Macaca mulatta: one gene and its partners. The protein of the gene in region 4 interacts with the protein of the main gene of each other region in a pairwise test. Links are inferred from orthologs where the notes say so. Each region holds a gene or a part of one and is shown on either strand. Other genes may lie near its edges.

What was found.
Region 1: the proteins of NUP62 (region 4) and XPO6 interact in binary tests that used the Homo sapiens proteins (3 or more experiments, as listed by UniProt). The link is inferred for Macaca mulatta from reciprocal best matches to the Homo sapiens genes NUP62 and XPO6.
Region 2: the proteins of NUP62 (region 4) and CCDC121 interact in binary tests that used the Homo sapiens proteins (3 or more experiments, as listed by UniProt). The two-hybrid records come from large-scale screens. The link is inferred for Macaca mulatta from reciprocal best matches to the Homo sapiens genes NUP62 and CCDC121.
Region 3: the proteins of NUP62 (region 4) and BFSP1 interact in binary tests that used the Homo sapiens proteins (3 or more experiments, as listed by UniProt). The two-hybrid records come from large-scale screens. The link is inferred for Macaca mulatta from reciprocal best matches to the Homo sapiens genes NUP62 and BFSP1.
Region 5: the proteins of NUP62 (region 4) and AGR3 interact in binary tests that used the Homo sapiens proteins (3 or more experiments, as listed by UniProt). The two-hybrid records come from large-scale screens. The link is inferred for Macaca mulatta from reciprocal best matches to the Homo sapiens genes NUP62 and AGR3.
Region 6: the proteins of NUP62 (region 4) and KRT20 interact in binary tests that used the Homo sapiens proteins (3 or more experiments, as listed by UniProt). The two-hybrid records come from large-scale screens. The link is inferred for Macaca mulatta from reciprocal best matches to the Homo sapiens genes NUP62 and KRT20.
Region 7: the proteins of NUP62 (region 4) and CCHCR1 interact in binary tests that used the Homo sapiens proteins (3 or more experiments, as listed by UniProt). The link is inferred for Macaca mulatta from reciprocal best matches to the Homo sapiens genes NUP62 and CCHCR1.

Annotation. Positions count from the first base shown.
Region 1 is NC_133425.1:27,658,247-27,661,746, reverse strand, and holds part of XPO6 (exportin-6), read left to right. Parts: intron 1-2,683; coding exon 2,684-2,839; coding exon of another isoform or gene 2,840-2,865; intron 2,866-3,500. UniProt on the Homo sapiens protein: Mediates the nuclear export of actin and profilin-actin complexes in somatic cells.
Region 2 is NC_133418.1:97,366,458-97,370,399, forward strand, and holds the start of CCDC121 (coiled-coil domain-containing protein 121), read left to right. Parts: upstream 1-1,142; 5' UTR 1,143-1,400; coding exon 1,401-1,768; coding exon of another isoform or gene 1,769-1,778; exon of another isoform or gene 1,779-1,910; intron 1,911-1,956; coding exon of another isoform or gene 1,957-1,976; exon of another isoform or gene 1,977-1,991; intron 1,992-2,234; coding exon 2,235-3,189; 3' UTR 3,190-3,942. Other genes in the region: GPN1 (GPN-loop GTPase 1), read right to left, coding at 199-292, 995-1,105.
Region 3 is NC_133415.1:66,512,169-66,515,660, reverse strand, and holds part of BFSP1 (filensin), read right to left. Parts: intron 1,942-3,492; coding exon 1,721-1,941; intron 129-1,720; coding exon 43-128; intron 1-42. UniProt on the Homo sapiens protein: Required for the correct formation of lens intermediate filaments as part of a complex composed of BFSP1, BFSP2 and CRYAA. Involved in altering the calcium regulation of MIP water permeability.
Region 4 is NC_133424.1:62,390,486-62,394,634, reverse strand, and holds the start of NUP62 (nuclear pore glycoprotein p62), read left to right. Parts: upstream 1-1,349; 5' UTR 1,350-1,426; exon of another isoform or gene 1,427-1,548; intron 1,549-2,887; exon of another isoform or gene 2,888-2,999; intron 3,000-3,744; exon of another isoform or gene 3,745-3,889; intron 3,890-4,149. UniProt on the Homo sapiens protein: Essential component of the nuclear pore complex. The N-terminal is probably involved in nucleocytoplasmic transport.
Region 5 is NC_133408.1:111,410,803-111,413,407, forward strand, and holds part of AGR3 (anterior gradient protein 3), read left to right. Parts: intron 1-1,438; coding exon 1,439-1,491; intron 1,492-2,030; coding exon 2,031-2,107; intron 2,108-2,605. UniProt on the Homo sapiens protein: Required for calcium-mediated regulation of ciliary beat frequency and mucociliary clearance in the airway. Might be involved in the regulation of intracellular calcium in tracheal epithelial cells.
Region 6 is NC_133421.1:65,262,822-65,266,321, reverse strand, and holds part of KRT20 (keratin, type I cytoskeletal 20), read left to right. Parts: intron 1-534; coding exon 535-617; intron 618-2,438; coding exon 2,439-2,595; intron 2,596-2,947; coding exon 2,948-3,109; intron 3,110-3,274; coding exon 3,275-3,400; intron 3,401-3,500. UniProt on the Homo sapiens protein: Plays a significant role in maintaining keratin filament organization in intestinal epithelia. When phosphorylated, plays a role in the secretion of mucin in the small intestine.
Region 7 is NC_133409.1:151,917,831-151,920,893, forward strand, and holds part of CCHCR1 (coiled-coil alpha-helical rod protein 1), read left to right. Parts: intron 1-1,779; coding exon 1,780-1,892; intron 1,893-2,093; coding exon 2,094-2,139; intron 2,140-2,282; coding exon 2,283-2,419; intron 2,420-2,512; coding exon 2,513-2,701; intron 2,702-2,797; coding exon 2,798-2,899; intron 2,900-3,063. UniProt on the Homo sapiens protein: May be a regulator of keratinocyte proliferation or differentiation.

The DNA of each region.
Region 1 (3,500 bases), on a different chromosome or scaffold from region 4:
AAAGGTCTTGCCTGAAACTAACATATTTCTTCCACCTCTGTTTCCTTGGCCAGAGCCAGCTACGTGGCCTTGGCTTAACTCAGGGCAGGGAAGTGTGATGCCACTGTGTGCTGAAAGGGTTTGCAGTGTAGTATGTGAATGACGTCTTCACTATGCTGACTGTGTGCAGGCACTGGGTTGAGCACTTTGTATACATTATTTCATGTAACTTCCTGTGTAACCCTGTGAGGTGTGTCTTATCCTCATTCCACAGTGTCTTGAAATGAAGTTTGGAAAGTTTCATTTTTCTTATCTTGACTTTATACTTTGAAAAAAAAATTCCAAACCTACAGACTAGCTGAAGGAATAAGAAAACAACTGCATCTCTCTCACCCAGATTCACTAATTGTGAATGTTTTGCCACATTTGTGGTCTTTTCTGCAACACACTTTTTCTTAAAAGCCAGCTGTTTAAGTTGCAGATAATTGACACTTCATCCCTGAATCCATAACCTTTGTATCTATATAGAACAAGATATTAAACGTTGTTACAATAATGTTATTTAACATGTAGGCACATTAACACTTTTCCCCAGTTGTTACCAAATTGTTCTTTTTTGCTTTTAAAAAATCCAGGATGTGATCTAGGACGGTTTCATTGTGTTTGGTTGTTATAACTCTGTAGTCTCCTTTGGTCCAGAAGAGCATGCCCACTTTTTGTCTTTCGTGACATTGGCATTTTTGAAGCATCCAGGCCTGTTTTCTTGTCACATGTCTCATAGTCTTGTTTTGCCTGATTGTTTCCAGTAGGTTGTGGTGTAGTGGTGCATATTCGTGTTCGCATTTCCTCTTGCGTTGTTTCTGTTTGTTCCATCCTTGGTGATGCTCAGTCTGGGCGCCTGATGGGAGTAGGGCCTGCCGGTCTGTCCATTGGGAAGGTGCTTGGCAGGTGTCATTGCTCAGGACTGTAGAGAAAGTGGGCCAGGTCAAGAGTTGGACTTGGGTGTGAATGGCTCCAACTCCTGTGTTCTGCACCACTTTGCCGCATTGCCTCTTTCTTCTTGAAACCTCCCCCCGCCCGCCAAAAAAAGAAAAGAAAAGGAAAGAAAAGAAAAAAGGTTCTTAATAGTTTTATAATGTCCTGTCTCATGGAAGTAAAGCAGTTACCTACTCATTCTCCTATTATTACATACTTATAGTGCTTTCAATTTTTGACTTGTACATTTTTTAAAAATACATCTTTTGTCCTCGTTTGAATTTCCTTAAATGCCAGAGGTCAGATTTTGGTTTCTTGACTGTTGGTTTTTCACCCTAAACTGCTTCCCCTGTTGCCTGTGCGTTCTTGAGGAAGTGGCTGCCCTGAGTGCGGTTTCCTGGCTTAGTGGAAGTCCACATGCTTGTAGTTGTGGATGACTCCCTCCTCAGCAGTGTGGGTGAGCCTTTCCTTTACTCTCCAGTGTCACTGTGATGGGGGACCAGGCCTGTGACGAGAAGCGTCTTCCTTCATCCTCAGCCCTGTGAGTGGGGCAATGCTCTCTTTCCACATTTTCAGATGAGGCAGCAGCAGGGCCAGGCCTGCCTCCATCCACCTCCTGAGCATGTCTTCTTTCTGCCGTATCCCCTCCTTAAAGCTGCGGCAGTCCCACAGAGGCTGCTGAGCACTGGGGTTCGGAGGACCCAGAGAGTGCTCCAGGTGGGGGGCAGCTCTCAGCCCAGCTCTGGCTCAGCCTCTGGCGTTCGCCAGGGTTGAATCTGCTAGGCTCAGGCTGAGCCATGGGTGTCACCTTGGGGAGGTTGGTAGGGGACTCTGCATCTTAAGGGGGTGACTCCACTCGCTCTGGGAACAATGGCAGCATCCCCGTCCTGGACCTTCTTAGATGGCTGGCACACTGCTAGCATCGTTCAGGACCTTGTCTCTAATCCCCACTGCGGCGCTGCCAGGGTGGGGTTGTCGGCTCTCCCAGATGGATGAGGGTCTTGCCCACGGCACGTAGCCTTCAGATGATCACCTGTGGTTCATAGTCAGGGCTCTCTGACCCCTGGCCTGTTTGTGGCCCACTACATCTGTTTTCCCTGTGTGCCAAATGGAGTCAAAAGTCATCTCAGGGTTAGCATTATATATTGTCAATAACATAATAACAATAATTATATGCCTTATCAAGCTACAAACCTAATAGGCCAAAGATGGATCAGGCAGGTTGTTCCTGCAGCCAGCACCATTACATGTGCATGGCAGGTGTTTGTGGGATTACTGGACTGGAGTAGTGTCCCACTGAGGGACAAGGTTTGAGCTGCATGTGTCCATCCTGGCCTGTGACCTTATGACACTCATTTTCTCACCAGTCTATTCACCATCTTTTAGATTTGATTAAATCCAAGGCACCCAACCTGGGGGTGCATTTATTTATCTTTTTTCTTCTGTGGACTTGTTGCTGATGGCCAGAGGCAAAAACCTGAGCAGGCAGGCATCTTCTCCCCAATAGACACTCCAGGCGTCTGGAGTCCTGGCAGTAATAATAGTAAAAACAAAAACTAAAACATAAAGAGAGGAGAATTTATATTGTAATCAAGAGACTGTTCCTTTAATGAGACCCGTGTGATCATCTTCTTGGTACCTTTGCAAGTTTCCTCCCTCTCCCTTGTGTCTCCTCTTGCGTGCTTTCTCCCCAGACAGCTTATAACCTGCAACTCATCTTGATTTGCAGCCAAAGTGATTATCCACCAGACACTCAGCGTCTTAGAAGATATTGTGGAGAATATCTCGGGGGAGTCCACCAAGTCTCGACAGATTTGCTACCAGTCGCTGCAGGAATCCGTTCAGGTCTCCCTGGCCCTCTTTCCAGCTTTTATCCATCAGTCAGGTAGGAGCTGGCCCAGAGCCCCACTGGTGGGTGGTGCTAACAAGGGCCAGAATGCCCACTTAGATCTGTAAAGCACACTGAGTCAGTGCAGTACAGGCCTCGACCGGCTCCGTGCAACGAAACCCGGTACTGAAGGGAAAGGGCAGTGGTGTTTATTTGCGGAGTCTGGGGCCAAGGCCCTATGGAAAAGTGAGCAGAGCCCTCCATATGGGCCTTGGCACCTACAAGAGAAGGCTAGAGAGCTTTTTTGGCTTAGTTCTCCTTATTTTGTGGCAAGGCGCATTTGCCGAGATCATTCCCCTCACCCTTGTCTGTCACTGTCAGTGATAGAGGGCCTCTCTAGCTCTGTGGATGTACTTGCCCAGCTCTCATGAGAGCATTATAGTAGTCTTGTCAGTTTTACAAGAGAAATATCAAGCACTTCTCAGTCAGCAAATATTCATTGCCTCTTGCAAGCAGATTGCGTGCAGTTAGAGCTGAAACACTACACAAGATGATTGTTGAGATCTGGAAGTGAAACTGCCCTAAATGTAAGCAGTATTTTCTGCAATTAGTCCATTTAATGGACCAGGGGCATGCAATCTAAATACACCTTCATTATCCACTTTCAACCACTCAACCTCTGACCCAACTGCAGGGATTATTAGTCATAGGGGGAAAT
Region 2 (3,942 bases), on a different chromosome or scaffold from region 4:
CGCGCCTGGCTAATTTTTTGTATTTTTAGTAGAGATGGGGTTTCACCATCTTGCCCAGGCTGGTCTTGAACTCCTGACCTCTTCATCTACCTGCCTCGACCTCCCAAAGTGCTGGGATTACAGGGGTGAGCCACTGCGCCCGGCCTTTTCCATTCTCTTTAAAGCACTTCACACAAGTTATGTTACCGGTTTACTCACCAATATTGGCAGGAAAGGGAACTTCATGTACTGCTGGATCCAGGTTGATCACATAAGGTGGAGTGCCTTGGGCATGCAGGTGTCCTGTGAGCCTCTGCAGAGATATGGGGAGAAGGTTGGAAGGAGACAAAGAGGGGACAAGAGAGAACTTCCTTTACCACCCATGCCTTAAGAGTTTTGCACTTAGATTTTCTTTTACCTGAAATATCCACCCACTATATCCACCACCAAGATACAACTCTCAGTTCAAATGCTACCTTTCTTCATCACCCATCTAACAAAACTTCCCCTACTCATAGTCACTTGTTTACTTGTTTTGATTCTTCGTATGTGGGTTTTCTCTATCTCCTCCATTAAATATTTAGCCCCATGAATGAATCTTGTCAACCTAATTTTCGCTATATCCCCAGTGAATGGTACATGACAGGCGTGCAAGAAATAATTCTTCGGCAAATCTTCACCAAAACCTGTGTGCTAGCACTGTATTAATCTCTAAAGTTACTTGTAAGCCCCTGCCTTCGAGAAACTGGCAATTTTATCAGCAAGACAATTCCTGTACAACGTGGTAAGCTGACCGAGTATGCACTGAAGGTGCACAGAAGACAGCCTTAATTAACCTGGCTAGGGCCCGAGGAGGCTTTGCCGGGGAAGGAACTAAAGTTGATGGGAAACGACCGAAACCCATGCGCCGATACCCTCCAAATCCTCGGAGACCTCCCTCCCTTTCTCCCTGGCCTTCCGCCTGTCGGAGGCAACCTTTTGCGCTCCCCTACTACACCCACGCTGTGTACGTCACCTGTACAAAGGTGGTTTTCCCGGATCCCGCCATTCCCAACACCAACAGACACACTGGGTGCCGCGGACCCCCAGAAGCCTGGGGCTCAGCTGCAGCTGCGGGAGCCGCCATCTTCCTCCTGGCCCCGCCCACCTGACCATAGAGACACCGCATGGCTAGAGAAACTTCCGCGATGTTCTGGGCAGCGAACGAAAACAGAACCAAAGCGTCAGAAAGGAGCGTGAAGGGGCGCGGTAGTTGCCAGGGCATCTTCTTAGTATCGGGCAGGGCTGGTGAGCCAACTAGTGACAGTGGCGAGGAAGTGGGGGCGCTGAGCAAGCGAGAGGAAGGCTGAAGGGAGCTAGGAAAGGGCTCTGATCTCTGCAGCCTGGGAGGGCTTTTGGCCCCAGGGGGAAGGCGAGAAGAGATGGGGTCCCGAGGGCAGGACTCACACAGCAAGAAAACGAGGCGCATGCCTCTCATTTCGAGCCCGCAGAGAGCGGGGAGCGGAGCCACTGGAGGACCGGCTGCTCGGGTTTATTCGGTAGCCGAGGCGGTTAAACAGTTCAGGGCTGGACCAGCCAGGACTGGAGCAGGGTGCAGCCTCCAGGGTTGCTGGGCAGCACCGAGACCCTTTGAGCACCGAACGGATAAACTACGGGAGTTTTCCGCACTTGCACGTTGTTCCCGCGAGTTGCAGGCGCAGGTTCCTGATGCTAGCGCTCATTCCTTGGTAATCACCCTCGGTGAACTACGCAGTTGCCGTGACCTTCAGGATGAATGCTTGGATTCCAGGTGCGAATAGGTACTGGAGGGGAGCTTCCTTCTCACTGAAGGGCTCTCAGAAACTCAGGAAAGATGATGAAAGAGCTTAGAAAAGTATTTCTACTCGCAACCACCCAGTCTGTTTCTGTGGCCCTTTGTAGCTGCTAACAGTGTTCAGTAAGTCATAAGATCTGGCTTTCATACCCAGGCTCTGCCACTTGCTAGTGGTGTGAGTCATGGGCAATTCACTTAAACTCTCTGAACCTGTTTTCTCTTTTTAAAACTGAGATAGTACCTCCCAGGGTTGTGGTGAACGCACGTTGTAAATGATGAGCTAAATCCGTCATCTTTTACCACTAGCTGGATTCCCCTCACCTTGCATAATGTCTGGAACATTCTGGGTACTCAGAAATATTCTCTGGTATAAATAAAGGACAGTTGTGCACTTCCTAAAGTTTCATCAACTGAGAGAGGAATGTCTCATTTGTTCTTTCAGGTTTGCTGAGGGCCCCAGAAGGCTCCTTCCACCGTATCATAGGCTAATAAATAATTTTGTCAAGCCAGAGAAGCTAACAAAGGTGGAGACAATCCTTAAAGAAAAGATAGTGGCGGAAATGACGGTTCTGAACAAGCATATAAAACAAGCTCAAATCCAGCGGGAACAGCTACTGGAGGAATACAGGGAGCTATACCAAGAAAAGTTACTTGTCCAGGCTGAAAACAGGTTCTTTCTGGAATACCTGACTAACAAAACTGAAGAGTACACAAAGCAACCTGAGAAGGTATGGAACAGCTATTTACAACAAAGTGGAGAGATTGAACGAAGAAGACAAGAATCAGCCTCCAGATATGCAGAACAAATTTCAGTGCTTAAAACAGCGCTCTTGCAAAAGGAAAATATCCAATCCAGTTTGAAGCGGAAGTTGCAGGCAATGAGGGACATTGCTATATTAAAGGAAAAGCAGGAGAAAGAAATACAGACATTACAGGAGGAGAAAAAGAAAGTCCAAGCTGAGACAGCTGCAAAGACACGTGAAGTACAGGCCCAGCTCCTCCAGGAGAAAAGATTACTGGAGAAACAACTGAGCGAGCCAGACAGGAGGCTACTGGGAAAGAGAAAAAGAAGAGAGCTTAATAAGAAAGCCCAGGCCTTGAAGTTGGCAGCAGAGCGGTCTATTTTTGAATACTCCTGTGGCCTCAAAAGAGAGAACCAGCAGTTCAAGAAGGAATTACTGCAGCTAATTGAGCAAGCCCAGAAACTAACGGCTACTCAAAGCCACTTAGAAAACAGGAAGCAGCAGCTGCAGCAGGAACAGTGGTATCTGGAGTCCTTAATCCGGGGGAGGCAGAGATTGCAAGGAAGTCATAATCAGTGCCTAAATAGACAGGATGTTCCAAAGACCACACCCAGTCTTCCCCAAGGCACCAAATCAAGGATTAATCCAAAGTAACTCCTCCTAAAATAACACTGATTAGATAACTGGAGCAAGTACTCTTAAGTGCTATATTAACCTGGTTAGGAAGGCTTTTGGATTCCAGATTGTTATTGTAACATCTCCATCATGAGTGTTAGAGTGGAGGATTAGATGGTTTTATCCAACAGTCCTACTAGATATTTGGTAACCAGCTTCCCTTAACTAGTTTTTTCTTGAAATACTCTTGTTAATAAGATATTCCACAAACCTCTAGTTAACCTAACACATGACCCTAACCTAGCCATTTACCATACATCAAACTAGCTAAAGGAAACCAACCCGAGGAAGTGAAAACAGTTGTGATTTATTTCATCTAACTAGATTTCTTTATAGAGAAAAAGTACCTTTAAGGATAGCATTCCAAATAGACTGAATAGCGTTCTGCTCAGTAAATAACCAGTATCAGTTTATCCTCATTCCTTTTGACCGACTTAGCAGACAAAAGCAGTTTTTATAAGATTTTTGTAAGTTTGTGCCAGTGACCAGGTAGCTCCTAGTTTTCTCATGAGCGAAAAAGCATTCTGATAACAGCAAGTCCAGTAAGTGCTAGGCAGAGTGACCTTTCATCTGATGTGAAGCCCCTACAAGTTTAGCTTTAAGTAAATTGAGAAGGTAAGAGAAGACGAAGGAGACATCTATTAGGTCAGCTCTTACATTTGAAAATGTTTTCTTTGAAGAAACACATGTAGCATGGAGGTGACTGAATGCCTCCCCTTATTTCAGGAAAAT
Region 3 (3,492 bases), on a different chromosome or scaffold from region 4:
CAAGACAGAAAAAAACAGAGGCCCAGGGTTGGGGAGCGTTACCTTTCCCACCGGATCCAGTGCTGAGAGAGACCCCATGGCTCTGGGTGAACAGGGGAATGGGAGTTTCAATGAAGGCAGAGCTCAGCCTGTCAGAAAGAATCAGAAAAAACAAGCCAAACAGATGGTCAGGGGCAAGAGTGACTCTCGCTAATGTTGAGCAAAAATGGAAAAAAAAAGCTTTCTCTAGACCAAATTGCTCACAAATTAGATACCGTTTTAAACAGACAGCCATACACACATTTACACACTGGATGAGGACCTAAAGGAAATAATCATTTCTTTGAGCTCAAGAGTCATAAACTGTGAAACATACCTATAAAAAAGTATAAAGTAGGGATTGCTTATAACCTAAAAACGCCACTTCTCCATGAGACAGTGCCTTTTTGGTGTTTTTGCCTTTTTGGTTTTTTGCCTTTTGATTTGCCTTTTTGATTTTTTAAATTAAGAGTGGCCAACTCAGGCTGAAGTATTTAGGGCAAACAGGGTATGATGTCTCCAATTTAAGATATATGTATACACACACAAACACACACACACACACACACACACACACATATCATATATAAATAGAGAAAAATGATAACAGCAATTGAAATAAAATATAAACAACTGGTGAATCTGGAGTATTCAGGAGTTCCTTGTTCTATTCTTGTAACATTTCTATCAGTTTAAAATTAGACCAAAATCAGAACTTATAGATAAATAAAAGAGGTATCCAGTCAGCTTTCTGTGAAGCCCTGTCCCAAAACAAAAATGTTTACAAAGTCATTAAAATGCCAATTCCAGACTTATTCTTGCAGATGTGTGCATAAAGTGTTCACTGTGACATAAATATCATGTGGAATCATGCCAGATACACTGAGCAGCACCGGAGAAAGAAAAATAAAATCCTGCTTCTCCTGCCAGGCATTTGTCTGTGCACAGCCAAGACAGAGCCCCCAGGGCGAAGGGAGGAGCTGCTCCTGGTGGGGACCTCAGTTGTGGAGGGCTTCTCTTTTCATTCAATCGAAACCCAGGAATTTAGCAAGACTGGAGTGAAGAATCACAAATTAATTCCCAGCCTGTTCTCCGGGAAAATCACTGTAGCTACGAACATGGACATAGCTGGAGAGAAAGAGAGAACTTCCCAGCTGTCTTAAAGTGAGTAGGGATCGAGTCACAGCTCCATTATGGAGGAGACCAGACAGCCACATAGTGACAGCCACAGACTGACCCAGTAAGGTGCTAAGAATCATGAGAATGGCAGCAGGAGCACCACCAACACCTCTGAGTGCCCTCGAGTGCCAGGCTCTGTGCCAGGTAGCTCACCTGCAGCACCTCATTAAATACTCCTGGGCATCCCACCTGCTGGGACATTTATGTCTCCAGAGGCCTATGAGCAAAACGCTGGCTTCTCAGTGAGGCCTTTTCTGACCACCCTACTTAAAATTGCAAGCATTCTCCCATCACCCCCATCGCCACCGCCCTCCTCCCTGCTAGAGCTTCCTCCTCGGCACTGGCGGTACCTTCATCCTCTGTCTCCCCTATTAGTTTTCCAGCACCCATGGGGTCAGGAATTGTTGTGTTTCCTTCCCTGCCACATGCCCACTTTCCTAGAACTGTGCCTGGCACATAATAGACACTCAACAAAGAGTTGTGCAAGGAATAAGTGGCCCGGATGGGGAGGGCACACTCTCACCTGTTGCCTTCAATCTCGATGATACGATGATACCGGTCCAGCTCATTCTTCAGGGTTTGCTGGGCGACCGCCAGCTGCCGGCAGTCGTAAGAAGACTTCTCCAGGACCCGCTCTGTCTCCTCAATCTCCTTGCGCAAGGTCTCAATCTGCTCGTTATAAAGCTGAATCTCATCGTCATAACACTCATGGGCACTTTTAATAGCTTGTTCCAGAGTTGTTGTCTGCAGGCAAGGACACACTGTAAGAAAATCTATCGCCCTCCTCCCCTAAGAGACAGACCTCACCAGGAAAAGGAACCTGGACTCAGTGAATGTTTTATTTTGTTTGTGTGTTTCTCTGCCCATTAGAGATTAGCAATGAATCACTTTGGAATCCTTAAGCTAAAAAACAATGTGAAAACTGAGCTCCTGTGTCCTTACACCTTTTTTTTTTTTTTTTTTTTTTTCTTTTTGATAGAGGATCTCACTTTGTCACCAGGCTGGAATGCAGGGATGTGATCACGGCTCACTGCATCCTCCAACTCCCAGGCTAAAGTGATCCTTCCACCTCAGCCTCCTGATAGCTGTGACTATGGGCAAGCACCAACACACTGGGCTAAATTTTTTTGTTGTTGTTCTGGTAGAGTTAGGGTCCTGCTTTGTTGCCGAGGCTGGTTTCAAACTCCTGGCTTCCTCCTCCCGCTTCAGCCTCCCAAAGTGCTGGAATTACAGGCATGAGCCACTGCACCCAGCCCTTCTTGCACTAATATCAGCACCCTCTGCAATTAACCCATAAGGAGGCCCACCCCAAAGGCAGTCTGAAGACAAACCTAGAAAATAAAACAAAACCTAGGCCAGGTGGCTCACACTTGTAGGTAAAATAAAATGAAACCTAGGCCAGGTGGCTCACACCTGTAATCCTAGAACTTTGGGAGGCTGAGGCCAGCAGATCACTTGAGGTCAGGAGTTTGAGACCAGTCTGGCCAACATAGTGAAACCCCGTCTCTACCAAAAACACAAAAATTAGCCGGGTGTGGTGGCACACGCTGTAATCTCAGCTACTTGGGAGGCTGAGGCAGGAGAATCACTTGAACCTGGGAGGTGGAGGCTGCAGTGAGCCAAGACCACACCACTGCACTCCAGTCTGGGCAACAGAGCGAGACCCTGTCTAAAAGGAAAAAAAAAAAAAAAAAAAACCTGCTATCCGTGGAATAATAATTCAAATAAAGTACATTCTTCAGACCTTAATGAATTAGCATAAACCCAATAGCCAAAAAATAAGGAAAAAGAAGAGCATACTGAATAGATAAGATGCTACTTTTATTGAAATACTGAGTGGGAGAAAAGTTTCCTTGTTCTCATTCAGTCACTACGGTGCTTTGATTTTCTGCTGAGTTTGGATCGGCAGAGTTACATTTATGTTTTGGTAGCTAAGGTGTGTGTGTGTGCATTTGTGTACACGTAAAATAATGTCAGAGAAATACATTAATCAGAGAAAGTAAAAATTAAGGCAGGAAAATAGAAAGAGATAGTTTTATATTCAGTGTAAGAGCTTGTGATGATACATAAAGACCCATAAATGCTCAGTTGTGTGCCACATAACAGTACTGCAGTCAACAATGGACTGCATATAGGATGGTGGTCCCATAAGAGTATAATGGAGCTGGACAATTCCTGTCGCCTAGTGACAACCGCAACCATCCTAGGGCCATGGAGCCACACGTTCACTCACATGTCTGTGGGGACGCCGCCGTAAACAGACTGTGCTGCCAGTTGCATAAAAAACTTCTAGCA
Region 4 (4,149 bases):
GCACCAAGGCGAAAGTGGAAGACCTACACGTGTGAGACAAGAGTGGGTGGGGTCGTGGGGTCAGGAAAGCCTCATCCACCGGCCAAAATCATGGGGAAGCCAAGCCACACCCCCAGGCACGTCCACGGGGCTCCTCCCTCCCCCTTCCAACCACAGTTTATAACTAAGCCTCAGCCTCTCCGAATTCTAAATTTGCCCTTTCTTTACCCAAATCTGAGCCCCACCCACTCCCAAGGGAATTTCTTTAGGTCCTAAGGTAGGACCGATGCCCCACCCTTTCCCCCAATACAGAAACCTAAGGGTCTCCCAGGGGAATTACCTTAGGCCCCTCCCATCCACCTCAGAATATTCCGCTTCATGGAAAAACTCAATTCCAGGGACATTTTCTTCCAGCCACGCCCCTTGCCCTAAAATATTTCCTTTTGGCCCCACTGCCTTCCTAGCTTCCATCCCAAACCAGTGCCCAGGGGAACTGCCCCAGGCCCCAGCCCTTCAGCAATGTTATCCACTCAAATCCCACTCCTCGCTTTGCCACTGTCCCTCCAAGCCCCGCCCCTCATTGTTTATTTAGCTCCGCCCCTCTCCGATTCCCCAGAGGCCCCGCCTCTTTGTCCCATCGAAGCCCCACCCCTCAGCTAAAGGTTGGCTTAGCCCCGCCCCTTCTCACAATGGGCTCACGAAATCCCACCCATCGTGACGACAGTGGTTCTAGCCCCACCCACTTAGAGGGCTGCCTCTAAGCCCCGCCTTCTCCCCTGTCAATCTAAGCCAGTCCCCGCCTCAGCAGGTGCCTGGTTTAAAAGGAAGGAAGTTGGGCTGTGAGCCAGAGCAACGTGGAGCAGGGAGGGTGGAGGAGGGTAGAGGGGGCAGGCAGAGAACTGCTACCCGAACGCCAGCCGTCCACACGCGGCTATGCGCCAAGGGCCAAAGCGCATGCTACGTCTTCCGAGCTGTCCAATTGCTTTACACCTCCGCCTTCTTGGGGATCAGTGCGCATGCGCGGACACTCAGGGCCCGCGCTCATTCATTACGGGGCACTGGTAGGCTACTGCGCAGGAACAACCAAGCACGCACAGAATCGTTTAGAAAAAGACCACACCCTCCCTTGGAGTGCGCAGGCGCAGCCACACGCCGGCTGACAAACATCGAGTCTCTAGAACTCTCCCACCCGGCTCCGGGCCCAGTGCGCATGCGCAGCCGCGCGCCTTCGGCCCACCGTACCTCTTCTGCGCCTGCGCGACCGTGATTCCCCGCTCGCAGCTCCCCTCCCCCCAGGGCTCCCTAAAGAGGGCCACGAGCTGCGAAAGGGCGGGAAAGGCGGTTGGAGAGGGACAAGTAAGCGGTTACTCACTCCATGGCTGCAGAAAGGAGAGGCGGCGGCGGCCTCGGCTGAAGAAAGAAGGTGGGAGCGGAGAGCGCAGGCGTGGTAAGCGCGGAGTCGGGCTGGGGGCACAAAGGGGTCGAGGCTACAGAGCCATGGCTGGGGCTACGCAGGCGGAGGCGGAGAACGCTGTAGTTAGAAGAGACCGTGATCTGAGGACGGGGAATGAGGCGGCCCCGGGGACTGGGGACAGAAATACTTCGGGTGGCGCAGCATGGCCCGCCCGGATCCTTCCGCGCCCCGCCCTCGCGGGGCCCCAACTGGGTGGCAGCCCGGTCCCCTCCTCCTGGGGATCAGGGGATCCGACCTCTTCCTTCCCACTCCTAGGGTCCAGGCCCCTCCTCCCTTTTGAGCCAGGGATCCGGCCCTCTCGTAGCTCCGGGGTCTGGTTTCCTCCTAAACTCTGGTTTCTTTCTTTTTCTGCCTGTGAGGTCTGGGCCTGCTTCCTCCTGTGATTTTGTGGATCCAGTCTCATTCTCTTCCCGGAGACCTGCACCATTTAATTTCTGTTTCCCTTTCCCTGCTTGCAGAATTTCCTGCCAGCCACACTTTTCATGTTTTCATCCCCCAACTGCTGACCCCGAGAAACCCTCGTGGGTTAGAGTCCAGCGTGAGTCACAGCACTCTCCCAAACACAGACCTACCAGGATGGCCTCGGGCAAATAGCTTAAGTTCTCTTGCTTCATTTCCCTATCCGTAAAATAAGAAAAATCAGCTCTCCTGGTGGGTTTATGAAACTCAAGACGGTGTCTGGCAAGCCTTATGCACAGAGTTCAACTCATACGTTCCTGTTCAATTTTTTTTTTTTTTTTTTTTTTGGTGAGATGACGTCTCTCGGTCTCTGTCGCCCAGGCTGGAGTGCAGTGGCGCGATCTCGGCTCACTGCAAACTCCGCCGAGTTCACGCCATTCTCCTGCCTCAGCCTCCAGAGTAGCTAGGATTACAGGCGCCCGCCACCACGCCCGGCTAATTTTTTGTATTTTTAGTAGAGACGAGGTTTCACCTTGTTAGCCAGGATGGTCTCGATCTCCTGACTTCATGATCGGCCCGCCTCGGCCTCCCAAAGTGCTGGGCTTACAGGCGTGAGCCACCGCGCCCGGCCTCAACATATTTTATTGGGGCCCAGCCTCACTTCTTCTTTCCCCCTTACAAGAGCCGCAGACGTTGGACTGTCTAACTCTTGCTGTCGTTCTTCTGTCTCCCTCATTCCTCTGAAGTGTCTGTTTCCGGCCATCCTCATCTTCCGTTCCAAATGATGGGTGCCCAGGCCCCATCCCCTGGCAGGGATTCAGACATCGAGGCCCCAGCTGCGTCCTTTTCTCCATCCCTTGCCCTTGGCTTCCTTTCAAACAGTCCTTAGCTTCCACGGGATAGGAACTATCTCCCAACCCTGCCAAAAATGGAAGATCTCCGTTTCCCTTTAGTCAGAGGGTAGCCATCTTGCCCCTTCTCATGCACAGGGCCCTCCACCAGCCGAGGTGGATGTCAGTCTTTTCTCTCTTGCAGAAACCCACTTTGTCCCATCCACGTCAGGACATCCCAGCTGGAGTTCAGCCTTCATCCCTTCTGTGGCAGTTAGGAGACTGAATCAAGGTCCAGAGAAGGTGGAGGAATCCTGGTATTGAGCGTTTTACACAAGCTTCTTTCTCCTCCCTTACTTGTCGCGGGCAGGAAGCCCTTCTTGGGATCTGACCACCTTCCCTTAGAGCACTTATTGTCCACTTTGCCAGCTTTTGAGCACCTGCCCTATATTTCCTTGAGCTTGTAGGGGTTGTGTTATCACTGAGACAGTATACAGAGTAGCAGCTAAGAGCATAAACTGAGCTTGTCCCATCCGTGGGCCTGCATGTGGCCCAGAATAGCTTTGAATGCAGCCTAATACAAATTCGTAAACTTTCCTAAACCATACGAATTTTTTGCGAGTGTTTTTTTTTTTTCCTTTTGAGCTCATCAACTATCATTAGTGTTATTTTATGTGTGGCCTAAGACAATTCTTGCGATGTAGCCCCAGGAAGCCAAATTTTATACATCCTTGGCATAGACTCTGGAGCCAGATTTATGAGTTCAAAACCTGACTGCACCCCTCTTATTAGCTGTGTGACCGTAGCCATTTCCCTTCCCGGTGCCTCGGTTTCCCCTGTGGTACAAGGTGGTGTTAAGAGTACCTGCCTCTGGGCCAGGCACGGTGGCTTACGCCTGTAATCCCACCACCCTGGGAGGCTGAAGTGGGCAGATTGCTTGAGCTCAGGAATTCGAGACCAGCCTGGGCAACATGGTGAAACCCCGTCTCTACAGAAAATACAAAAAAATAGCTGGGTGTGGTGGTTTGTGCCTGTGGTCCCAGCTACTTGTGAGGCTAAGGCAGGAGGATCACTTGAACCCTGGGGTGGGGCAGAGGTTGCAGTAAGCGGAGATTGTGCCACCACACTCCAGCCTGGGTGACAGAGTGAGACCCTGTCTCAAAAAAAAAAAAAAAACAAAAAAAACAAAACTGCCTGCCTCATAGGGCTGATTAAATGAGTTAATCCGCGTCGAGCAGTTAGACTAGTGCCTGGGACACAGTAGGTGCTGCATAAAAGTGGTTACTGTTACTGCTATAATTAAGGTGGATGTGTTCTCATTCCATTGCTGTGCAGTAAGTCCAACTTCCTTCCACTTCTCAGTATAGGTTTTTGAGCAAAAGCAGATGGAATTAAGGGTAGACTGTTGGACAGACTGCCAGTGGTAAGGACGCAGAGACGTGCCCTACCCCAGCCCCCCACCGGCAG
Region 5 (2,605 bases), on a different chromosome or scaffold from region 4:
AATGTTTTGCTGTAGGATCTATTAAATCTGTGAGTGGTTGAAGATCAAGCCTTCAAATAATCTCTGAATGTTTTTCTGTAGGATTTATTAAATCTATGAGTGGTTTAAGGAGAGGTCAGTGTGTATAAAGTGTGTTTGAACATTATGCCAAATATCAAAATATGAAGGACTAATTCAGAATGCAAAAATGTTACGGCAGGTTGTAAATATGAACTATATAAGAGTTTAGTATGCAATTATGAGTGTAAAGAAACTGTGCCTTAAAAAGAACCAGCATGTTTACCAAATAAGTGTACAAATGTAAATGTTTAGGAACAATCTAAATACAAGAGATTGGAAACAATTTAAATATCCATCTTTGGGGGGACTAATAAGATAAAATATATTCATATAATAGAATATAATATAAAAGAATAGTGGCATAACTAAGATATATGTTATATTTTAAAAGCAAAATGTAGATACTTGTGTGCTAGTATTTTTGTTTTTTAGAAAGAAATACATGCACATAAATATGAACATGCATCTGGGTATATACAATATATATATATTCATATAGATTTTCAGTTATATGACCTGAAAACCTCTGGGAGAAAATATAAAGAAAAGTAATACAGCATAGTTATAGAAGTCAGCAGGAGGAGGAAGAATTTTTATCTTTTTCACTTTTTTATGGTTAAAATCAAAATGACCCCCCAAAAATGTATTAACTAGGAAACTTCCACTTATGTTGTCTGTACATTCTACAATGTGCCAGAATGAAAGGATATGAAAATAGCCAAATATTAACAGCTTTTTTGTAAAACTTTTTTAAAAACTACATTTAAGTCTTTGACTTTCCTGAAATCTTACACTAAGTGTTCATTGGAAATGAATACATTGTTCATAATATCCCTTTATCTCTGGATACACGATTGATTTTCTCTAACTGCACTATAGAGTACATAAGAATTACCTAATAAGCTTGTTAAACTACAGATGCCTGAAACCACCCCTCACCCCAAAGATTCTGATTGAGTGGGTCTGGGATGAAGCCTTTGGTTTTTTGTTTGTTTGAGACAGAGTCTCGCTATGTCGCCCAGGCTGAAGTGCAGTGGTGCTATCTTGGCTCACTGCAACCTCACCTCCTGGGTTCAAGTGATTCTCATATCTCAGCCTCCAGAGCAGCTGGGACTATAGGCTCACGCCACCACGCCCAGCTAATTTTGGAATGGAGCCTTTGAATTTAAGTTCCTAATAAGCTACCTAGTGATACTGATACTGTCAGTTCTGGGGCCACAAATAGAGTAACACTGCTATTGACTACAGTGCTATGATTTGTAAATCTGAGTTACTACTGTAAGTCTTATTGAAACTAATAAAACTTCAAATCTAACTCCACTGTATGTTTTGACTCAAAGTTAATCATTTGACTTAATTCCATACTTTCTTTGTTTAGTAAGAAGCCATTAATGGTTATTCATCACCTGGAAGATTGTCAATACTCCCAAGGTAATTTTAGTCCCTGAGCTCTTATTATAATACATAATTTTCCAATATAAAATAGGAAAAGTGACCTGGTAATAATAGCTAAGAAGGCACTCAGCAAATCTCATTAAAAAAAAAAATTAGACAACTGCCAGAGTACCATCATTTTATTAAAGTGCTTAAAGACCACAATGATTGTTACCAATCTACTGAATATTTCTATTATATCCCCTTAGAAATTAGATATTCCTCTTCTTCCCATGAAAAGAGAGGGGTGAGCTGAGAGGGTGGAGAAACACTGAAAGAAAAAAGTTGTTGTCTTAACCAATGAGTCAATGAGTTACATAAAATTATAAAACTAGTGTCTTCACTGTGATTATCCTTTGATGTCTCCTTGAACAGACTGTCCCTCATTGCAAAGTGGCAATAGGCCAATGAACTATTAATATTTACACTTGAGTTATATATGCAAACAAATGCTAAATATTAGCTTTATTTTGCTATGCTACATTAAAGTTCTCTTGATCCTTAAAACTAACAGACAATTTTGTTTTCCCCTATAGCACTAAAACAAGTATTTTCCCAAAATGAAGAAATACAAGAAATGGCTCAGAATAAGTTCATCATGCTAAACCTTATGGTACATAAACTTTATGATGTTTTCTTAATATTATAATTTCATGGAAAATTTGAATCCCTTTTTTCTTTTTTTCTTTTTCTTTTTCTTTTTTTTTTTTTTTTTTTTTCAGATGGAGTCTCGCTCTGTCGCCCAGGCTGGAGTGCAGTGGTGCGATCTGGGTTCACAGCAACTTCAGCCTCCCTGGTTCAAGTTATTCTCCTGTCTCAGCCTCCCGAGTAGCTGGGACTACAGGCACCTGCCACCATGCCCAGCTAATTTTTGTATTTTTAGGAAAGATGGGGTTTCACCTTGTTGGTTAGGCTGGTCTCAAACTCCTGACCTCAGGTGATCCACTCACCTCAGTCTCCCAAAATGCTGGGATTACAGGCATGAGCCACCACACCCGGCCTCCTTTTTTTCTATTTTTAAAGCACAAAGAGCTAAATGTTGGTTAATAGAGGAAGTTATGTGGAATTATAAAAGGCCAAAATAGAATTTACTGACAGTCTAGTTCACACA
Region 6 (3,500 bases), on a different chromosome or scaffold from region 4:
AGTAGACCAAACCCTGGGGCATCTAGGGTTGCATTTTGTGACTCTATTATGTTAAACACCCATGTCATTATTTTTTCTATATTTTCTTGTAGAAATGCTTGAAATAAACATCATTTTTGACATAATAGTCACTGCAGCTGGAGATAAACTAAATCCTTGTAAATACCTATCCAATTGAAAATGTCATTCTTGGCTGGGCGTGGTGGCTCACGCCTGTAATCCCAGCATTTTGGGAGGCCGAGGCAGGTGGATCACCTGAGGTCAGGAGTTCAACACCAGCCTAGCCAACATGGCAAAACCCCATCTCTACTAAAAATGCAAAAATTAGCCAGGCATGGTGGTGGATGCTTGTAACCCCAGCTACTCGAGAGGCTGAGGCAGGAGAATCGCTTGAACCTGGGAGGCAGAGGTTACAGTGAGCCAAGATCGCACCATTGCACTCCAGCCTGGGCAACAGAGCAAGATTCTGTCTAAATAAATAAATAAATAAATTTTTAAAAAAGAAAATGTCATTCTTTCTCATGTATTTTCCAGATTAAGGATGCTCAACTGCAAAATGCTCGATGTGTCCTGCAAATTGATAATGCTAAACTGGCTGCTGAGGACTTCAGACTGAAGTAGGTTCCCTAATATGTGGCAAAAGTTTCTGAAAAAGAATTCCTTTAGTAGTCCTTCCAGATAATCAGCTTTCCATATCATTGTTGGTAAAGGAACCACGGTTCAATGTTTCCAGAATCCTGAAGCCTAAAGGAGGTTAGAAGCTACGTGTTAGAAGCTAGCCCAGCACTCAGGGATGACCTTCTCTCTCTTGATCCCCTGGCATGTAACTGAACACCTCCAGTCACTACTATTCTCCTTTGTTATTACTGGTTGCTAAGTTTCTTTTTTTTTTAGTAACCTGGTATCTACCTTTTAACCCATTAAACCTAATTCTGCCCTTTGGAGTAATAAGAAAGCAATTTACAGTTCTCCTTCTCCCTAAGTGTCTCTCTGTTATCTAAAGAGAGTCTTAAGTCTACCCTTGGTGATTCTCCAAGTAATTCTCCATGTTCATTCAAGTACCTGCAAGTGTATGACCCAAGTTCCAGGGGTGACTCTTGATGATTTCTGGTTTGCCAGTGTTTTACAGGATGGTCTGGCCAACCAAAGAATCAGGACCAATCTATAATAATTAACCGGGTGTGGTGGCACATGTCTGTAATCCCAGCTACTTGGGAGGCTGAGGCAGGAGAATCACTTGAACCTGGGAGGCGGAGGTTTCAGTGAGCCGAGATCGTGACATTGCACTCCAGCCTGGGTGACAGAGTGAGACCTTGTCTCAAAAAAAAAGAAAAAATTGTGTTTACTTTCTCTGTAGTCATCACACCACATGTGACCAGAGCTGTTCCTTACAAACAGCTTCCACACTAGGGCATCTTCATCCTGAATTTGTACAATGCATTAACACCAAAAAGCCTTTTGTGGTTAGAAGAGTAGCCTTTTAATGCTCCAAGAGATTAACTAGAAGGAAATAGGAAATCAAATCCAAAGATTAAAGCAGTAAAGGTGCATTAGTTACAATTTTACCTAGCACTGAGTGTCCCATTGCATTGTCACTTTTTAAAGCTGGATATTTTAGGAAATTGGGCAGGGCGTGGTGGCTAATGCCTGTAATCCAGCACTTTGAGAGGCTGAGGCAGGCGGTTTGCTTGAGTCCTGGAGTTTGAGAACAGCTTGGGCAACATGGCGAAACCACGTCTCTACACAAAAATACAAAAAAAGTAGCTGGGCGTGGTGGCATACACCTGTGGTCCCAGCTACTTGGGAGGCTGAGGTGAGAGGATTGCTTGAGCCCAGGAGGTTGAGGCTGCAGGGAGCCATGATCGCATCACTGTATTCCAGCTTGGGTGACAGAGTGGTACCCTGTCTCAAATATACACACACACACACACACACACACACACACACACACACACACACACACATATATATATAGTGAGAGAGACAGAGAGCGTATGTAAGATTGTAGAGGAGGATGTAGAGCTGTTTGAGATAAGTCACTTTGGATGCCTCAGTTCACAAAGTTATAAAAATAAATTGATCATGTACATTCATTAAGTAAAAGTATTTAATATCAATAATGAGAACCCTTTGCCAACACAATAATTAACACAATTTAATTTCTTGTAAGATAAATTCTAGAATTTAGAAGTGCTCAAAATTATTTCAGATTGCCTTTTTCCAGTCACTCCAAATTATAGAGATTATATTATTGAGCAAATTGTCTGATTCCTAGGTTCTTATGTACATTTCATGAATGTATAAAGGCAGACATTATAAAGTTTTGAAATTGATCTCCTCATAAGCCACATTTAAAAACCTATCTCATTATATTAGATTCTCTCTCTTATAATGGCTACAGAAGGACCAGTTATCTCTGTATACTAATTAATTCCCAGGTATGAGACCGAGAGGGGAATACGCCTAACGGTGGAAGCTGATTTCCAAGGCCTGAATAAGGTCTTTGATGACCTAACCCTACAAAAAACAGATTTGGAGATTCAAATTGAAGAACTGAATAAAGACCTAGCTCTCCTCAAAAAAGAGCATCAGGAGGTGAGAAAATATTCAGAAGTGGTATTGGAAACGATGGAATGGTTCTATATAATAATAATAATAGGAGGAGCAGGAGAAACAGGAGAAGGGGGAAGAGTTGGTGGTGGTAATGACAGAGATGATGATGATGACAATAGTGATACAAGCCCCGCCTTCTTTTCATAATGTTGTTGTAGGTTAAATGACTTAGAGCAGTACCTGGACCACAATAAGCCCAACACAAGTTATTATTTTATTTCTTTTTTACTCATTGCCAATGAAAGAGGTCATGAGACTTCTTATGTCTTTTCTGCCCAACCTTATCTGAGAATGTGCTTCAGACTAAAATCAATCCGAATTTTCACTTTCATAGGAAGTCGATGGTCTATACAAGCATCTGGGCAACACTGTCAATGTGGAGGTTGATGCTGCTCCAGGCCTGAACCTTGGTGCCATCATGAATGAAATGAGGCAGAAGTATGAAGTCATGGCCCAGAAGAACCTTCAAGAGGCCAAAGAACAGTTTGAGAGACAGGTAACCGCACAATTGTAAAGTGTGAGCAAATGTGTAGAAGCTTTCCTCCAGAAAGAGATAACTCAGTTTCTTCTTCATTTGTTCATTCTTTCTTTCTCTTTCTGTCTTTTCTTTCTTATTTCCATCCCTCAACTGTTTGTTTTTTTTTCACTCGGCACTTTGTAGACTGAAATTCTGCAGCAACAGGTCACAGTGAACACTGAAGAATTAAAAGGAACTGAGGTTGAACTAACAGAGCTGAGACGCACCTCCCAGAGCCTCGAGATAGACCTCCAGTCCCATCTCAGCATGGTAAAGCACATCTAACTTCTCTTTCTCAATCCAGTATGTGTTTACCAAGGTCCTCTGTTAGGAACTTAGAAATGCAAAGACCTACAAGAAATAACCCTTC
Region 7 (3,063 bases), on a different chromosome or scaffold from region 4:
TTCCTTCTAAATCAGTTGCCAGCCTTTGTGTCTCATACCAACTTCCTTTTTTTTTTTTTTTTTTTTTGAGAAGGAGTCTGGCTCTGTCGCCCAGGCTGGAGTGCAGTGGCCGGATCTCAGCTCACTGCAAGCTCCGCCCCCCGGGTTTACGCCATTCTCCTGGCTCAGCCTCCCAAGTAGCTGGGACTACAAGCGCCCGCCGCCTCGCCCGGCTAGTTTTTTGTATTTTTTAGTAGAGACGGGGTTTCACCGTGTTCGCCAGGATGGTCTCGATCTCCTGACCTAGTGATCCGCCCGTCTCGGCCTCCCAAAGTGCTGGGATTACAGGCTTGAGCCACCGCGCCCGGCCCCAACTTCCTAGTTGTTTCATTACCAACAATTGTTCTACGACCTTCGGAAAAACTTCTAAGGAAACAGCAAAGCTTCTTTGTGCTGGTGATGACTTCCCCTCAGCCTTGGACATTGAGATACCCAAGGCAGGTAGTTCTTAGCACAGTGTCTGGCTTGTAAATGTTTATCATTATCATGAGGCTCTTCTTGATGGGTTAATTTAGATAAAGATAATTTTTGGTTTAGCGAAATTAAGATGCAGGATGAGTCCTTGCCCACCACTTCCTTCTCTTGGATTTGTACCTTGGGGACTAATTCAGCTTAAAAAATTATGAAACATTTCACACTTGCATGGAATTAAACTAGTTATGATGACCTACCACCCAGGTTCAATCCATTGCGTGTGCCCCCTACCTCCAGGAGAACAGAAAGATGTGCTGCGGACAGGGTTTGACTTTGGTACCAGGCAATCACAGAAATGGTCTGTGTAATGATGCATTGCCAAAAGTCCTCCAGGCTTAAAGCAGTCTGAACTCGGATTGTTGCTGGGTTTATTAGATTGTCTCTAGGTACTTGGAGACTTTACTACGAGCTGCGGTAGGTGTTGGAAGCATCTACTTGAACAGTTTCCAGATGAAAGTGAACTTTGCCGTGCTGCTGGCGATGCAGCTGCAAGCCTTCATCATCCTGTGTTTTTCTGTGGGTGCAGACCCGGACTCTCCTGAGGAAACCCCACGCGGGCCCTAGACACTCCTTGGCCTCCTCCAGGGGCCTGTTTAAGCTGCTCAGTTTTCATGAGCCAGGTCGGTCCTACTTTTGGCACAGCCAGCTGGTAAAGCATGTGGGTCTGCCCGTCATTGGTGCTAAATCAACACTCCTGGGCTTGGAGAGGATGACTTTGTTTTGGTTTGGTTTTTTGAGATGGAGTCTCACTTTGTTGCCCAGGCTTGAGGGCAGGGGCGCAATCTTGGCTCACTGCAACCTTCACCTCCTAGGTTCAAGTGATTCTCATACCTCAGCCTCCGGAGTAGCTGGGATTACAGGCATAAGCCACCATGCCCGGCTCATTTTTATGTTTTTAGTGGAGACAGAGTTTCACCATGTTGGCCAGGCTAGTCTCCAATTCCTGACTTCAGGTGATCCACCCGCCTCGGCCTCCCAAAGTGCTGGGATTACAGGCAGAAGCCTCTGGCCAGAGAGGATAACTTTACTCTTTGATGCACAATAGTGAGCGAAACACAGGTTGTGAGAAATAAGCTTAACAGGTTGCTTTAAAAGATAGTCATTTAATGCATTCTTGGGGCAAGGTCCCTTTAGATAATTGATGGAAGCTGTGCGTTCTTCACTTGTATAACAGGACAGGATTGAGGGAGTTGTCTCTACTAGGCACAGCAAGTCCTTTGGGAATGAGGGGAGGCATGGAGGGTCAATGACCTGTGCCCTCTCCAGCTCTCAGATCTGGCTCGAGAGCACCATGGCTAAGGTGGAAGAGGCTGCCGCCCGGCTTCCCAGCCTCAACAACCGACTCAGCTATGCTGTCCGCAAGGTCCACACCATTCGGGGTGCGTAGGGCAACTGGGAGCCATGTCCCGCCCCCGCCCCACCAGCTCGGACTTTCTTCTTCCTGACCCAGCTCTGTGATCCCACATCCATTCACCTTCCTCCTTTCACCAGCCCTCGCATCTCTTTTTCCCTTACTCCCTGTCCCCCACTTTCTCCCATGCAAACTTCATCTCTTTTTCTCCCTGCCTTTTCCCTCCCAGGCCTGACTGCTCGAAAGCTTGCCCTTGCTCAGCTGCGCCAGGAGAGGTGAAGTTTGGGCACTTTGAGGTGGATGGGGCTTTAGAGCATTGGCTACTGGGACCCCCAAAACCATGAGAACTGAGGCAGGATGGGTGCTTTGGGGTCAGGCAGCTGGGTGATTTCTCCTGACTCTCTCTTCCCTGTCCCAGCTGTCCCCTACCACCACCAGTCACAGACGTAAGCCTTGAGCTGCAGCAGCTGCGGGAAGAACGGAACCGCCTGGATGCAGAACTGCAGCTGAGTGCCCGCCTCATTCAGCAGGAGGTGGGCCGGGCTCGGGAACAAGGTACACCTGGTTGCCAGGGGGGTGGCAAGGATGAGGAAAGACCCGGTGTCTAGGGTGCTAGGAGAGGCCTGACCCAGCACCCCCTCCTTTTAGGGGAGGCAGAGCGGCAGCAGCTGAGCAAGGTGGCCCAGCAGCTGGAGCAGGAGCTGCAGCAGACCCAGGAGTCCCTGGCTAGCTTGGGGCTGCAGCTGGAGGTGGCACGCCAGGGCCAGCAGGAGAGCACAGAGGAGGCTGCCAGTCTGCGGCAGGAGCTGACCCAGCAGCAGGACCTCTACAGGCAAGGTGTCGAGAGGGAAAGGGGTGCTTCCCTTGGACGGTGGCGTGGGAATTGCAAATCAAAGCTCCTGCTGATACGCCCCGTCTGCACTTTCACCCCAGCCCTGCAAGAGAAGGTGGCTGAAGTGGAAACTCGGCTGCGGGAGCAACTGTCAGACACAGAGAGGAGGCTGAACGAGGCTCGGAGGGAGCATGCCAAGGCCGGTGAGCCTTGCCAGGGTGGATAGGGCCTTCCAGGAAGAAGGAAGTGTTAAGACATAGGTTATTATTTTCCCCTCCAAGTTTTTTCAAAGCTTCATTACAGGAAGTAATGGAGGTATCCATGAATAGCACAGAAGATTTCTCACTTCATGAACACACCCATGTAG